2 linked regions of the Macaca mulatta genome follow. The protein of the gene in region 2 binds, or shares a complex with, the protein of the main gene of each other region. Links are inferred from orthologs where the notes say so. Each region holds a gene or a part of one and is shown on either strand. Other genes may lie near its edges.

The links.
Region 1: SNRPD1 (region 2) and SNRPG share a complex: the UniProt entries of both Homo sapiens proteins name them as parts of the SMN-Sm complex. The link is inferred for Macaca mulatta from reciprocal best matches to the Homo sapiens genes SNRPD1 and SNRPG.

What each region holds. Positions count from the first base shown.
Region 1 is NC_133418.1:54,433,860-54,441,354, forward strand, and holds the start of SNRPG (small nuclear ribonucleoprotein G), read left to right. Parts: upstream 1-3,363; 5' UTR 3,364-3,451; coding exon 3,452-3,483; intron 3,484-3,599; exon of another isoform or gene 3,600-3,930; coding exon of another isoform or gene 3,931-3,938; intron 3,939-5,125; exon of another isoform or gene 5,126-5,226; coding exon of another isoform or gene 5,227-5,273; intron 5,274-7,495. Other genes in the region: protein FAM136A, read left to right, coding at 1-77. UniProt on the Homo sapiens protein: Plays a role in pre-mRNA splicing as a core component of the spliceosomal U1, U2, U4 and U5 small nuclear ribonucleoproteins (snRNPs), the building blocks of the spliceosome.
Region 2 is NC_133423.1:70,796,240-70,803,693, forward strand, and holds the start of SNRPD1 (small nuclear ribonucleoprotein Sm D1), read right to left. Parts: upstream 3,829-7,454; 5' UTR 3,721-3,828; coding exon 3,707-3,720; intron 1-3,706. UniProt on the Homo sapiens protein: Plays a role in pre-mRNA splicing as a core component of the spliceosomal U1, U2, U4 and U5 small nuclear ribonucleoproteins (snRNPs), the building blocks of the spliceosome.

The DNA of each region.
Region 1 (7,495 bases), on a different chromosome or scaffold from region 2:
GTGTGGATGACCACATGCACCTCATCCCAACTATGACCAAGAAGATGAAGGAGGCTCTCTTATCTATTGGGAAATAAAAGTCTTTGCCAGTGGCCATCGGGGCTGAGGGCAAGAATATATTTTTTATAAGGAATTGGGAATTTTAGTCTTTTAAGCAAGGTTTACAAATGAAGAAATGAAGGATGGCCACAAGTGTAAGGCATATGTCACTTGCCTCTGGACACTGGTTATTTTATGTTTCAGTCCTAAAAAAAATGAAATGGAAAAAAGTGGTGCTAAATCGGGTCAGAGAGATTACAGGAGAGTTTTAGAGCTTATTATTTCCTGTGGCCAGCGCTTGTCCTGGCAATAAGGCTCTCCCCTGTAACAAGCCAGAGCCTTCCAAGGTACCAGACTTTTCTTACTGCACAGGTAGTAACAGGCTGGCAGGTTAGAGTTGGTGGAGTCTGAGAAGAAATATTTTCTCTTTGTTGCCAACATCCTGTTTACCAGAAGTGTCACCATACCATTTTCCATAAGCTGTGAAACAAAATCAATGAGGTCACTAACTTAGAAGGGAAAGAAAGTTTTCTGGGTCTTTGTTTTATAGGTTTTGGGTAATTTATACAAGGACATACAAGTTGATCTTAAGATGTGGAATTGGGAGGGAGACTAGTTTGGATAAGAACTTTGAAAGGTTCCTTGTGGATCCCCATTTCTGGTCATCAAGATGTGGATGTATGTTTCTTAAAGTTATTACATGCTGCATCTTTCAGCCTGGAGACCATGCAGAAACATGAGAGGTGATGACACACTAATTATGGGAAGCAGAATTACTGGCTGATGGCCCCTGAGGCTGTGTATAGCAAAATGTCAGGACAATCCTGCAGTAACACTTTTCCCTTGAAGAGAAGGGGGTTTTGATTGTGATATATACTAGTATCTAGGAATGAACAGTAAAAGAGGAGCAGTTGGCTACTTTATTACAACAGAGTAATGAAGTACTGGATTTGGAAAAACCTGGTTTTATTAGAACAGATGGAATGAAAGCCTAAACCTAACATTGCCTACTTAGCCCCCTGAATTAACAGAGCCCAATTGAGACAAACCCCTGACAATAGGAATTCAAGGGAGAAAAAGTAAGCAACTTGGGCTAGGATGAGCTGACTCCCTTAGAGCAAAGGAGAGGCAGCCCCCATTACCAAATACCATTTTTGTCTGGGGCTTGTGCAGCTGGCAGTGTTCCTGCCCTGGCGTGGCAACTTACTGTTTTGATAGCAACTTCGTTGTATTTTCACCAACTTATTACTTGAAATTATAGCCTGTCCATTTGCTGTTTCTAGGCTGTGACATATTTTCTTAGTGGTTTGGTTTTAAAAATAAATAAGGTTTAATTTTCTCCCCACTATTGTGTTTTCTTTCCTTATATCTGGGCAGTGAATATATAACTTTCTCAGGATGCTTCTCCTTTTAAAAGGTTAAATGAGTTTAAAATGTCCAGAAGAGCAGAAATTAGTTGTTATGGTTCAGATTCAGAACTGGTTCATTGTAAACGGGAAAAACTTTGAGAGGAGACTAGGACATTGTGACTCGAAGTTCATTAATGTAGAAAAGAAATTATCTATGAGGCTAAAAAGAGAAATTCATTATCTATGTCAGTCTCTAGCTTCAACTAAACACTAATAGCAAGTGGTAGTAAAGGTACAAAGCTATGACCCTGCTAGAAAAAAATAGAGTGTCTAAGATTTTGAGTACTAAGAGAGTGCAAAATATGTGATGAGTTTAAGTCTTTACTATCATTGGTATTTAAATAGAGTCATTCCAGAATATCAGGAATTAACTGAATTTTTGAGAACCATCCCCTATTTAAAATCAACACGGCATTCTATTTTGGTTTAGTCTTCTATAATCCGTGCATTCTCCTATTTTGGGGTAACATAACTGGGAACAAGTCCGAGGCCACTTTTTACACATCTTGACATGAAAAAGGAATACCTTGTATTAGAGAATGTTTGTGTGCTGCACTTCACGTTTTATATACGGGGCAATGGCACATCAGTGAGTTCTGGAGGTAATGTTTGAAAAATTGCAGAACTGCCAGGCATGCTGGCTCATGCCTGTAATCTCAGCACTCTGGGAGCTGGAGGCAGGCGGATCTCTTAAGGCCAGGAATTCGAGAACAGCCTGGGCAACAAAGCAAGACGTCGTCTCTACAAAAAAAAAAAAAAAAAAAAAAAAAAAAAAAAAAAATTAGCTGGGTGCAGTGGCTTGCGCCTGTAGTCTAAACAACTCAGGAGGCTGAGGTGGGAGGATTGATTGAGGCCAGGGGTTCGAGGTTGCAGTGAGCCATGATCACATCATGCATCCCAGCCTGGGTGACAGAGCAAGACCTCATCTCAAAACAAAAAAAAATTTTTTTTTGCAAGACCCATCAGTCGGAAATAGATTGAAATTCTTGGAGACAGGCCCAGTCACCTTACTCTCCAAATGGTGCAGAGGCTGCTAATTTGCATGTTACCGGAACCCTACTTGGTCTGAAAGTATGCTGTAGGATACCTGCCAAAGAAATATAGAGGCCCGGCTGGGCGCGGGTGGCTCACGCCTGTAATCCTGGCACTTTGGGAGGCCGAGGCGGGCGGATCATGAGGTCAGGAGATCCAGACCATCCCAGCTAACACAGTGAAACCCCATTTTTACTAAAAATACAAAAAATTAGCCGGGCGTGGCGGCGTGTGCCTGTAGTCCCATCTACTCAGGAGGCTGAGGCAGGAGAATGGCGTGAACTCAGGAGGCGGAGCTTGCAGTGAGCCGAGACCGAGCCACTGCACTCCAGCCTGGGGGACAGAGCGAGACTGTCTCAGAAAAAAAAAAGAAATATAGAGGCCCATTCCTCCAGGGATCATTATTTGGTATTTTGGTTTAGATGAAGAAAACAAGCGATACGATCCACAGACATGCGGGATTTGCCGGGTTTGCCCAGAAGTTAGAGAGGGGACTGTTATCTCAGTATTTCAATTTTATTTTTTAAATAGAGGAGGGGGTCTCCCTATGTTGCCCAAGCTGGTCTCGAACTCCTGGGCTCAAGAGATCCAAAGTTCTGGGATTTACGGCGCCAGGCTTTTTTTTTTTTTTTTTTTTTTTTTTTTTTTTTTTTGGCTGTTCCATAGACAAGAACACGGATACTCCATCGTCAGAATACCCGTTATCTCAATTTTGCCCAAGGAAAACCGAATTTAGAAAGGTGCCTAGAGGGCCCACCCCTCTGTCCTGGCCAATAGCTGACGACGCAACCGGAAGCTCAGCAATGACCGAGGCGCTCAGATATCGCGATGTGAAGTGTTAAAAACTGCCAACAATCGATTGGCTAACTAGGTCGATGACGCCAAACGCAAGACGCCGGGCCTACCGCGGGAGCCTGAGGGAAGCCGTGCATTCAGTTCCAAGGCGTCTGTGAGTCCGCGGAGTATACGCCATGAGCAAAGCTCACCCTCCCGAGTTGAAAAAGTAAGTATGTGTGAGAGCCAAACCGAAGTGGTCGCTTCTTTGCGTCCCCCGAGTCCCTTGGTGTTTCAAGCCGAATGGCTTGAGCCGCTTCACCTTATTTCTTCTTCCGGTCCGAGGTCGCCGGCATCCCGGCCAGGCTCCGGCTCATGAGACGTGAAGCCCGCGCAGAGCTCGCGCATTGGCGTGGTTACCGCCGGCAGCCACCGCACCTCCTTCTGGCCGACTAGTCTCTCTGTCCCGCGCTCCGGCCCCTAGTCACCCGGCGCTGTCCCTCGTTCCTTGAAGATCTCCAATGCCAGCTTTTGTTGAACATCTCTAATAGCATCATATTCTAGATAGACGGCTAGAGGGGGAAATTCTCTAAAGGAACTAAGGAGGGGATGGAAGGGAAGTGTTTTTAAAACTACGTGAGGCATCGGAATCCAAAAGCCACTTTAGCCTTAGAGAATGTGTTTGTAGGTGTTTCTTTGAGCTTTTACTTAGAAACCTCATTCTTTTTTGTTGCCTATTTTTACATTAAGCTTGAATGTCATGTGTTATCTTGCTCTGATATTGAAACTATGTAAGAACATTCATTTCTAAAATTAATGTTCTAAAAAATAAAATTTTTTTTAGAACATTAATTTTTTTCTAATCAGAGAAGGCTAATTTTTTTAAGTTTCTTTTACACACCCAGTAAAGACAAACAACTTTAAGGAGGAGAGCCTTAATTTATGTAGGACTCAACGTAAAACTTTAAACTCCTCAAATACTTTTTGACTGGACTTAACAGGTTATGTGTTTCCTCAGTACGTCTCTGTTTTGCTTGTACTCCCTGATGCTGGAATTCTACATGTATTTATTGGATTGCACAGAGGATGCAAAATTTTTACAGGAATCAATTTTTTCTGGTGTAGCATGTGGTTGGCTTTGTGTATAGTTCATTTATTACCAGGCCCCTGGAAGTCAGACATAAGGAAAAGTTCCTATTTAATAATTTTGCGGCCAGTGGCGGTGACTCACGCCTGTAATCCCAGCACTTTGGGAGGCCAAGGTGGGTGGATCACCTGAGGTCAGGAGTTCGAGACCAGCCTGGCCAACATGGTGAAACCCCCCGTCTCTACTAAAAATACAAAAAATTAGCCAGGAATGGTGGCACGCGCCTGTAGTCTCAGCTACTCGGGAGGCTGAGGCAGGAGAATCGCTTGAACCCGGGAAGTGGAGGCTGCAGTGAGTCAAGATCTAGCAATTGCCCTCCAGCCTGGGCAACAAGAGCGAAACTCTGTTTCAAATAATAATAATATTGCATTTAAAGGTATATTTGTATCAAAGCCATCTTTTGTATGAAAACTACTTTCATGTATATTTTAGTTAGGTCTGTTAAGGAATTAATTATTAAAACATAGCCCAACGTTAGAAAAATAGAAGTTAGAAATTATTGTGAAAATTACTCTTTTTATCTGAAAGTTATTTTATTGGTGAGTTGGTGATGTAAGTATCCTCTGGATTCATCAGGGACTGGTGAAATGGTGATTTTTCTTTTTTTAAACAAAAGCACCATTCTCTACTTGTAATCTAAGATTTTATTTGTGATTCATAACATAGTTTTTGAAAATTTCAGAGAAGGAAGCTAGTTTTAATACCTTTCTCTTCTCATCCATAGGTTTCATGAATTGTGAAATCCCGTGAGATCTGCCGTCAAAATGACTTTCAAATTTTTTCTTTCTTTGCTTTCTCACTGATAGCATCTTCTTTTACACCATTATGCCCTCCTTCTGGCTTAGCGTAACTCAGGGGTTCTTAAATGGGGGGTAAGGAATCTGGTGACACCAGGGATGCTGCTAAACATCCTACCGTTATTCGGCTGCCCCCAACAATACAAAATTACCTGGTCCCAAGTGTCATTAGTGCAGAAGTTGAGATACACTGGCTTAACCGAATTCTTCCTTCCACTTCTTAAAATTTGCTGCCACAGTGGTCTTGCCAGTGACAGCTTTAATAATTTATCACAGTATGCAAAACTGAATCTATACTTAAGCCAGCATTCAAACGCCAAACCTTACAGCTGCTAATACTCACGTGTTCTCTTCTCCAGTCAGACTGAACTATTTGTGTTTGCTCTCACTTGCTGTGTGACTTCGAAAAATTGATTTACCTTTTCCAAGCCTAGTTCTCCATCTGTAAAAACGGTAGAAATGACAGACCATAATTGCATGCAAAGTCATTGTAAAGATTGTATAAGATCTTGTGTTATATTTGATATGTTTTATGTATCTTATTAAAATAGTTTTGTTCATCATACTTCATAAATGTGTGTATATATTATATATAATATGTAATATATATTACATATATAATTTTACATATAATATTACATATATATTACTTTTTTTTATATATATACATATATATATATATATATTTTTTTTTTTTTTTTTTTTTTTTTTTTGAGATGGAGTTTCACTCTTAATTCCCAGGCTGGAGTGCAATGGTGCAATCTCGGCTTACCGCAACCCGTGCCTCCCGGGTTCAAGCAATTCTCCTGCCTCAGCCTCCCGAGTAGCTGGGACTACAGGCATGCACCACCACACCCGGCTAATTTTTTTTTTTTTTTTTTTTTTTTTTTTTTTTTTTTTTTTTAGTAGAGACGGGGTTTCTCCATGTTCATGTTCATCAGGCTGGTCTTGAACTCCCGACCTCAAGTGATCCACCTGTCTCAGCCTCCCAAAGGGCTGGGATTATAGGCATGAGCCACTGCACATGGCCCATAAATATATTTTCACTTGTAAATGTATCTACTCCCTCCTTCAGTCATGCTCCTTGTTTTATATTTACATTCTCCCATGATAATCCTATACATTAAAATTGACTAAGTTCCCCACTTCATGGCCCATATACTAAACTTTTTTTTTCCATTTTTTTATATTTTAAAATTTGAATGAAATTTCATGTTTTCTGGCCTATAAATGGAAGAGGTTAAAAACTGGTTTGACTGATGGCTTAGTATTCTCGTATTCCACTAAAATAGAATTTTCTTTTAATTCATATTGTTTGAAGTTTCAAATGTGCATTTATTATACTAAAGTATACTTAAATGTTGAAGACTACCCTGAACATTTATGCTTGATGCTTTAATATTAAATGAACACTATTTATCTCAAATATAAAATACTTGTTGAATTGGATATGATTTGATTACTGTTTGCTGTCTTTACAACTTAGTTTTGGAAATAACCAAATGTAGGCAAGTCTTTGTTTTTCTCTTATGACTATAAAATCCAATCATTGAAAATTAGGTTAGCGAGACCAGATGTGGTAGCTCATGCCTGTGTAATCCCAGCAGCACTTTAGGAGGCTGAGGGGGAGCATATTTTTTGAGGCCAGGAATTCAAGACCAGGTTGGCAACATAGTGAGACTCCATCTCTTTAAAAAAAAGAAAAAGAAAGAAAGAAACTTCGGTCAATGAAACAACATAGTATTGAACAATAAGAATGTTTTCATAATTCACATTAGTATATGTAGATTAATATAGTTTTTTTTTTTTTTTTTTTTTTTTTTTTTTTTTTTTTTTTTTTTTTTGAGACGGAGTCTTGCTCTGTCGCCCAGGCTGGGGTGCAGTGGCCGGATCTCAGCTCACTGCAAGCTCCACCTCCCGGGTTTACGCCATTCTCCTGCCTCAGCCTCCCGAGTAGCTGGGACTACAGGCGCCCGCCACCTCGCCCGGCTAGTTTTTTGTATTTTTTAGTAGAGATGGGGTTTCACCGTGTTAGCCAGGATGGTCTCGATCTCCTGACCTCGTGATCCACCCGTCTCGGCCTCCCAAAGTGCTGGGATTACAGGCTTGAGCCACCGCGCCCGGCCAGATTAATATAGTTTAAATATATTTCATTTTTATTGTCTTTCCTCTTCCCAAGTTACTTTGCGTTGTAGAATGTCTAATTTAGGTAACCCTTTATGCCCCCTCTCTTTTTTTTTTTAACCTGAGACAGGGTTTCACTCTACTGCCCAAGCTGGAATGCAGTGGCGCATTCA
Region 2 (7,454 bases):
CACCTCCCAGGTTCAAGGGATTCTCTGGCCTCAGCCTCCCTCGTAGCTGGGATTACAGGCCCTGCCACCACGCCCAGCTACTGTTTTGGTATTTTTAGTAGAGACAGGGTTTCACCATGTTGCTCAGGCTGGTCTCAAACTCCTGACCTCAAGTGATCCACCCGCCTCAGCCTCCCATAGTGCTGGGATTACAGACATGAGTCACTGTGCCCAGCCTAAAATACAGAACTTCCAAACGTACAAGGTACTAATACCCAGTAATAAAAATGAACACATCACTGATACACTTCACAATGTGGATGAATCTCAAAAACATGTGAGTAAAAGGAGTTTTACACAAAAATACTTTGTGATTCCAAATACATGAAATTCTAGTGCAGGCAAAATTCATGTATGGTGGAAGAAATTGGTTGCATCTAGGGGTATGGAGTCAGAGGTTGCCTGGGAAAGGCTTGAGGAAACTGAGGTTTTGGTAATGTTACTTCTCTTGATAGGGGTTTAGGTTACAAAAGTGCTTATGTTTTTCAATAGCAGGAAATATACGCTGCATTTCATTGTATTAAGATATTTACCTCGGCCGGGCGCGGTGGCTCAAGCCTGTAATCCCAGCACTTTGGGAGGCCGAGACGGGCGGATCACGAGGTCAGGAGATCGAGACCATCCTGGCTAACACGGTGAAACCCCGTCTCTACTAAAAAATACAAAAAACTAGCCGGGCGCGGTGGCGGGCGCCTGTAGTCCCAACTACTCGGGAGGCTGAGGCAGGAGAATGGCGTGAACCTGGGAGGCGGAGCTTGCAGTGAGCTGAGATCCGCCACTGCACTCCAGCCTGGGCGGCAGAGCGAGACTCCGTCTCAAAAAAAAAAAAAAAAAAAAGATATTTACCTCAAAGAAGGAAAACAAAAATCCATGAGTGGGATAAAAAGGGCCTGAACCTCAATGGTGGTGACCAGAACGAAAGGAGGCTACTATGGGCAGGACAAATACACAATTATCCCTCCCTAACTGAACCCAGGAACCAAATGGATTCAACTTATTTTCAGACGAATCTTTCAGTATCTGAATTCTTTCTACTTAGTGAAACTTAGATATCAAATAGTCAGATAACACGGTGTCCCTCAGTATCAAAACACACTATCTGAACCCAAAAAACAAACAGGAAAATGTGGGACACTTTTATGCAGTAGGTAAAACTGGCAGTGTATCAAATGTCAAGGACATCAGTAGAGAAAAAGTCAAGCTCACCTCCCAGGTTTTTGGTTAGGGTGACAGTGAGAATAAGGATGACAACTACCAACTGATATACAGAAATAAGTCTACTGAAAACGCAAACCAGTTAGTCAAACAATCATTTTCTGGAGGAAAAATACATTCTCTGGTAAGAAAAAAATTTTCTTTCTATATTTGACCTAAGACACAAAACAGGATTCAGTCCAGGTATTAAAAATTACTGGAAAATTGCCATAACATGCAATATATTTAAAGGGAACAAATGAAATCCAAGGTGTATTACATAAAATTGAACTATGAGTAGATTAAGATTCAGATTAGCAGGTATGGAGAAATTTCTTTTTTTTTTTTTTTTTTTTTTTTTTTGAGACGGAGTCTTGCTCTGAAGCCCAGGCTGGAGTGCAGTGGCCGGATCTCAGCTCACTGCAAGCTCCGCCTCCCAGGTTCACGCCATTCTCCTGCCTCAGCCTCCGGAGTAGCTGGGACTACAGGCGCCCGCCACCTCGCCCGGCTAGTTTTTTGTATTTTTAGTAGAAACGGGGTTTCACCGCGTTAGCCAGGATGGTCTCGATCTCCTGACCTCGTGATCCGCCCGTCTCGGCCTCCCAAAGTGCTGGGATTACAGGCTTGAGCCACCGCGCCCGGCTGGTATGGAGAAATTTCAAAAAATGTTGTAATTTTCTTTTTTGAGACAGAGTCTCGCTCTGTTGCCCAGGCTGGAGCACAGTGGTGTGACGTCGGCTCACTACAACCTCCCGGGATCAAGCGCCTCTCTTACCTCAGCCTCCTGAGTAGCTGGGATTACAGGCGCCCGGCTAATTTTTGTATTTTTTCGAAAGACGGGGTTTCACCACGTTGGCCAGGCAGGTCCTGAACTCCTGACTTCAGGCGATCCGCCTGCCTCAGCTTCCCAAAGTGCTGGGATTACAGGCGTGAGCCACCGCGTCCAGCCTAAAAAATGCACTTTAAATTCTATGACTTCCTATCCAAAATTATAGTTCAAATAAAAATACAACAAAAATTAATCTTAATTGTCTTTTGTACCAACTCCTCCCTGAATTTTTTATTTTTTATTTTTTTATTTTTGCAACGGAGTCTCGCTCTGTTGCCCAGGCTGGAGCGTAGTGGCCAATCTCAGCTCACTGCAACCTCTGCCTCCTGGGTTCAAGCGATTCTCCTGCCTTAGCCTCCTCAGTAGCTGGGATTACAAGCGCGCGCCACCACGCCCGGCCAATTTTTGTAATTTTAGTAGAGACGGGGTTTCACCATGTTGGTCAGGCTGGTCTCGAACTCCTGACCTAGTGATCTGCCCGCCTTGACATCCCAAAGTGCTGGGATTATAGGCGTGAGCCACTGCGCCTGGCCTCCTCCCTGAATATTGAAGGCTTTTATGTGTTATTTAAAACGTTTCAAACAAACGTTATTTCAGACGTTATCTACTTGTCTGTCATCCCCCTAACTAGAAAGCTCCAACAAGGATCTGCCTTTTAAAAAATACTATTACCAGCGCCCAGTAGGTAACAGGTGCCCAATAACTATTTAGCGGATAATGACAATCCTTGACTCAACAGGAAAGAAACAAGCTAAATATTTATAATCGATGGCTTAGTTATTAGAAACGTCTGCCTCTGTTCCAGGCTCAGTCTCAAGGAAAAAGACCAAAACCAAATCTACTCGCAGGTAGTTTGGAATTAGTCTCCAGAAGACTCACCTAAGTGACAGGGTCTATTTCTCGCGAAAGAAATAAAACAGAATAACTATATATCATCTGGGTAATCAGCCACAATTACGTTGTGATAATTTCTGCCCTATATTGGGAGATTTTCCTAAATAAAAAGCTTACCTTAACAGGAAAGAGGTAGAATAATCAATCATAAGTCTAAGGAGAATCAAAAGATAAACTTAAAAATCGGCCGGGCGCAGTGGCTCACACCGGTAATCTCAGCCCTTTGGGAGGGCAAGGCAGGCAGAACGCTTTAGCCCAGGAGTTCGAGACCAGCCTGGTCAACAAAGTGAGACACCGTCTTATTTAAAACAAAAACAAAAACAAAAACTTGTGAAGCCAGAAGTCCTTCTCTGATTTAAAACAGTTTGCAAACAGGTTTGTTTCCAGATAAGCTCATACAGCTTTCTAAGTACTCTTAAGTAGGGCTGGAGCTCCACTCAAAAAGAAAATCAGTAACTGTAAGGGCGAGATGTCTCCCAGGCGGCGCTGTACCTTGAAAGTCTCTAAGTCACTAGGCGGGAAGAAAAGGCTCGGCCTTTATACCAGTATCTTGGAAGACACGCGGGATTCGCGAGCGACCCAGGCGGAAGCCCAGGCCCGAGCACGAGCTGCGGGCGCAGTAAGGCCGGCCGTTAGCAGGCCGCGCACACGCGGCTTTCCCGCCTCCTGCAAATGGGAGAGCCCAGCCTTCCGGACTCCGGGCCAAGCCCTCCCTCCACAGCCCCCGGAGCTGCTTGGTCACTCCCTCACCTCACGAGCTTCATCCTAGCGGCGCCGTCACCCTTCGGGTCCGAGAGCGCACAGAATCCAACAACCGAATACTGACCGACTGCAGTATGAATGGCCGGAAGCGCCTACTCCAGGGACTCCGGTCGTAAAGGGCGCGCGGAGCACAGCAGACGCACGGCGGAAACGCCGAGGCTGCGCTGGGCCGCACTCTCTTCCGGTCGCGAGGAGCGCGACTGCGGCCCCTGGCGGCTGGAGGTTGCCTTGCCACGACTGAGGGTGTTGAGGGCTGGTCTAAGAGGAAAAGTGTCCCACAAGAGAGGGAGATTCGAAGAGATTAAATCCAATTAATAGGACTGTCGCACTTTGGGAGGCCGAAGCGGGGGTATCACCTGAGGTCAGGAGTTCAAGACCAGCCTGGCCAATAGGGTGAAACCCGCGTCTGTACTAAAAATACAAAAAATTAGCCGGATGTGGTGGCGGGCGCCTGTTATCCCAGCTACTCGGGAGGCTGAGGCAGGAGAATCGCTTGAACCCGGGAGGCAGAGGTTGCAGTAAGCCGAGATCGCACCACTACACTCCTGCCTGGGCAACAAGAGCGAAACTCCGTCGCGCGCGCGCGCGCGCACACACACACACGTACTGTCACCATCACGTTTCTGAATAGCAGGGCACCGTGAGTGCAGCACCTAATATAAATTCCTCACTGAACGAAAATAAGTTCTTAGAGAAGCCCAAAGGATTATGCTAATTCTGTTCCAACGCCAGGAACCTTAGCATTACTTAATGTACCTGAAGCAATTCACACAATGGGCCGGGCGCTGTGGCTGACGCCTGTAATTCCAGCACTTTGGGAGTCCGAGGCGGGCAGATAGCGAGGTCGAGAAATCAAGACCGTGCTGGCCAACATGGTGAAACCCTGTCTCTACTAAAAATACAAAAATTAGCTGGGCGTGGTGGCACACGCCTGTAGTCCCAGTTACTCGGGAGGCTGAGGCAGGAGAATCGCTTGAACCCAGGAGGCGGAGGTTGCGGTGAGCCGAGATCGCGCCACTGCACTCCAGCCTGGCAACAGAGCGAGACTCCGTCTCAAAAAATAATAAAAATAAAAAAATAAAATCACACAATGTAGCGGATTATTTTCACTTTAAGTTCCGATCTATAAGACAAACTTTTCAATCTTCATCTTTCACAACATCTCCTCAAAATTTTTTATTGTTTTTCTGAGACAGAGTCTCCTTCTGTCGCCCAGGCTGGAGTGCAGTAGCACGATCTTGGCTCACTGCAACCCTTGCCTCCCCGGTTCAAGCGATTCTCGTGCCTCAGCCTCTCCAGTAACTGAGATTACAGGGGGGAATCACCACGCCCCGCTAATTATTGTCTTTTTAGTAGAGACAGGGTTTCCCCATGTTGGCCAGGATGACCTGAACTCCTGACCTCAAGTGATCTGCCTCTCTAGGCCTCCCAAAGTGCAAAGTGCTAGGATTACAGGTGTGAACTTCATCAAGATTTAACACAAACACTCCCCTTACCTCTTTCAGGTTTCAGGATGCCAAGCTCACCTGGCCTTTTTCCTTATCCCACTAACTACTCTTGTTTGTTTTGTTTTGTTTTGTTTTTAGACAAGGTCTGTCGCTCTGTTGCCCAGGCTGGAGTGCAATGGCACAATCAGGGCTCACTGCAGCCTTGACCGATCCTCCTGGACTCAAGCAATCCTCCTGCCTCAGCCTTCTCAGTAGCTGGGACCACAAGTGCATGCCACCATGCCCAGCTAATATTTTATTTTTTATTTCGTAGAGAAGAGGTCTTACTATGTTGCCCAGGCTAGTATCCAACCCCTGGGCTCAAGAGATTCCACTGCCGTGGCCTCCCAAAGTGCTGGGTTTACAGGCCCAGAGCCTCCATGCCCAGCCTCTAACTACTCTTTCTAAATCTCCTTAGCTGGCTCCTCCTTCTCTATGGAGCCAATACATGTCAGAGTGCTTCCCGGCTTGCAGCTGTAGTCCCTTTATGTATACTTTTTCTTTTAACCTGGTAATCTCCTCCAAAACCATAACTTGAATTTATATCTCTAGTCCAGACTTCACCTCTGCTCAACAGAACTCTTAGATATTGTAAGACAATACTTATCGGCCGGGCATGGTGGCTCACGCCTGTAATCTCAGCACTTTGGGAGGCCAAGATGAGCAGATCACGAGGTCAAGAGATTGAGACCATCCTGGTCAACATGGTGAAACCCCATCTCTACTAAAAATACAAAAATTAGCTGGGCATGGTGGCGCATGCCTGTAGTCCCAGCTACTCGGGAGACTGAGGCAGAAGAATTGCTCGAACCCGGGAGACGGAGGTTGCAGTGAGTGGAGATCGTGCCACTGCACTCCAGCCTGGCAAAAGAACAGGACTCAGTCTCAAAAAAAGAAGAAGAAAAAAGGACAATATTTATCAAAGTTTAATGTGTGTAGGACTCACCTGGGGAAACTTTATTATTTATTTATTTATTTATTTTTGAGACAAAGTTTCACTCTTGTTGCCCAAGCCGGAGTGCAATTGCATGATCTCAGCTCACTGCAACCTCTGCCTCCTGGGTTAAAATGATTCTCCTGCCTAAGTTTCCCAAGTAGATGGAATTACAGGTACATGCCACTGCACCCGGCTAATTTTTTGTATTTTTAGTAGAAATGGGGTTTCACCATGTTAGCTAGGCTGGTCTCGAACTCATGACCTCAGATGATCCATCTGCCTTGGCCTCCCAAAGTGCTGGGATTTCGGGTTTGAGCCACCACGCCTGGCCTGGAAACTTTACAATGAAAATCTGATTCAGTTGTTGGGGGGGCCTGAAATTCAGCATTTCTAAAAAGCCTTCAGCTGATGAAGCTGCCCCTACTCTATGCACATCAATTTGAGTAACAAGGCTAAAATGGATATTTGTGTGTTGCCCTCTCAACGTCGATCCCTTTGTCTTTCCAAATGTTCCTAATATTCTTCTGTTGATCCCTGTGGTCCTAAGAAAGCTGACTCTACCCTTTTAATAGTCCATTCCATTACTTGTTCACAGTAGGTTTGGGATCTAAGTTGATCCAGTCGGACCTTTGGAGGGAAAGTTCTTTTCTTTTGATTATGAATGGAAACGGAGTAACCCCTGGAGCTGTTGGGAACTTCCTTACAACCAGGAGAAGAATCAATCTCAGGACATAGTGTTGTTTATTTCTTGCTTTCTTTGTTCCTTTAGACAGGATCTTGCTCTGTTGCCCAGGCTGGGGTGCAGTGGTGTGATCCTAGCTCACTGCAGCCTTAGGCTCCTGGGAATAAATTGATCCTCTCACCTCAGCCTCCCAAAATGCTGGGATTACAGGGAGCCACTGTGCCCAACCAAGGACAGAGTTTTTAAAAAACTAAAACCTGTGATGATATCAATGAGCCCCTAGATAATGAATAATGCCTGAATGTTGCTATTTAGAATTAAATAGCCAGCCCTGCAGTGCATGGGCTCAGTTACTAGGGAGGCTGAGGCAGGAGAATCACTTGAACTCAGGAGTTCAAGGCCAACCTGGGCAACACAGCAAGACCCTTAAAAATGAAAAAAAATTAAATAAAATTTAAAAATTCAGCTCCTCAGGCTGGGCATGGTGGCGCACGCCTGTAATCCCAGCACTGTGGGAGGCCGAGGCAGGCGGATTATGAGGTCAAGAGATTGAGACAATCCTGGCCACCATGGTGAAACCCTGTCTCTACCAAAAATAAAAAAAATTACCCGGGCATGGTGGTGCATGCC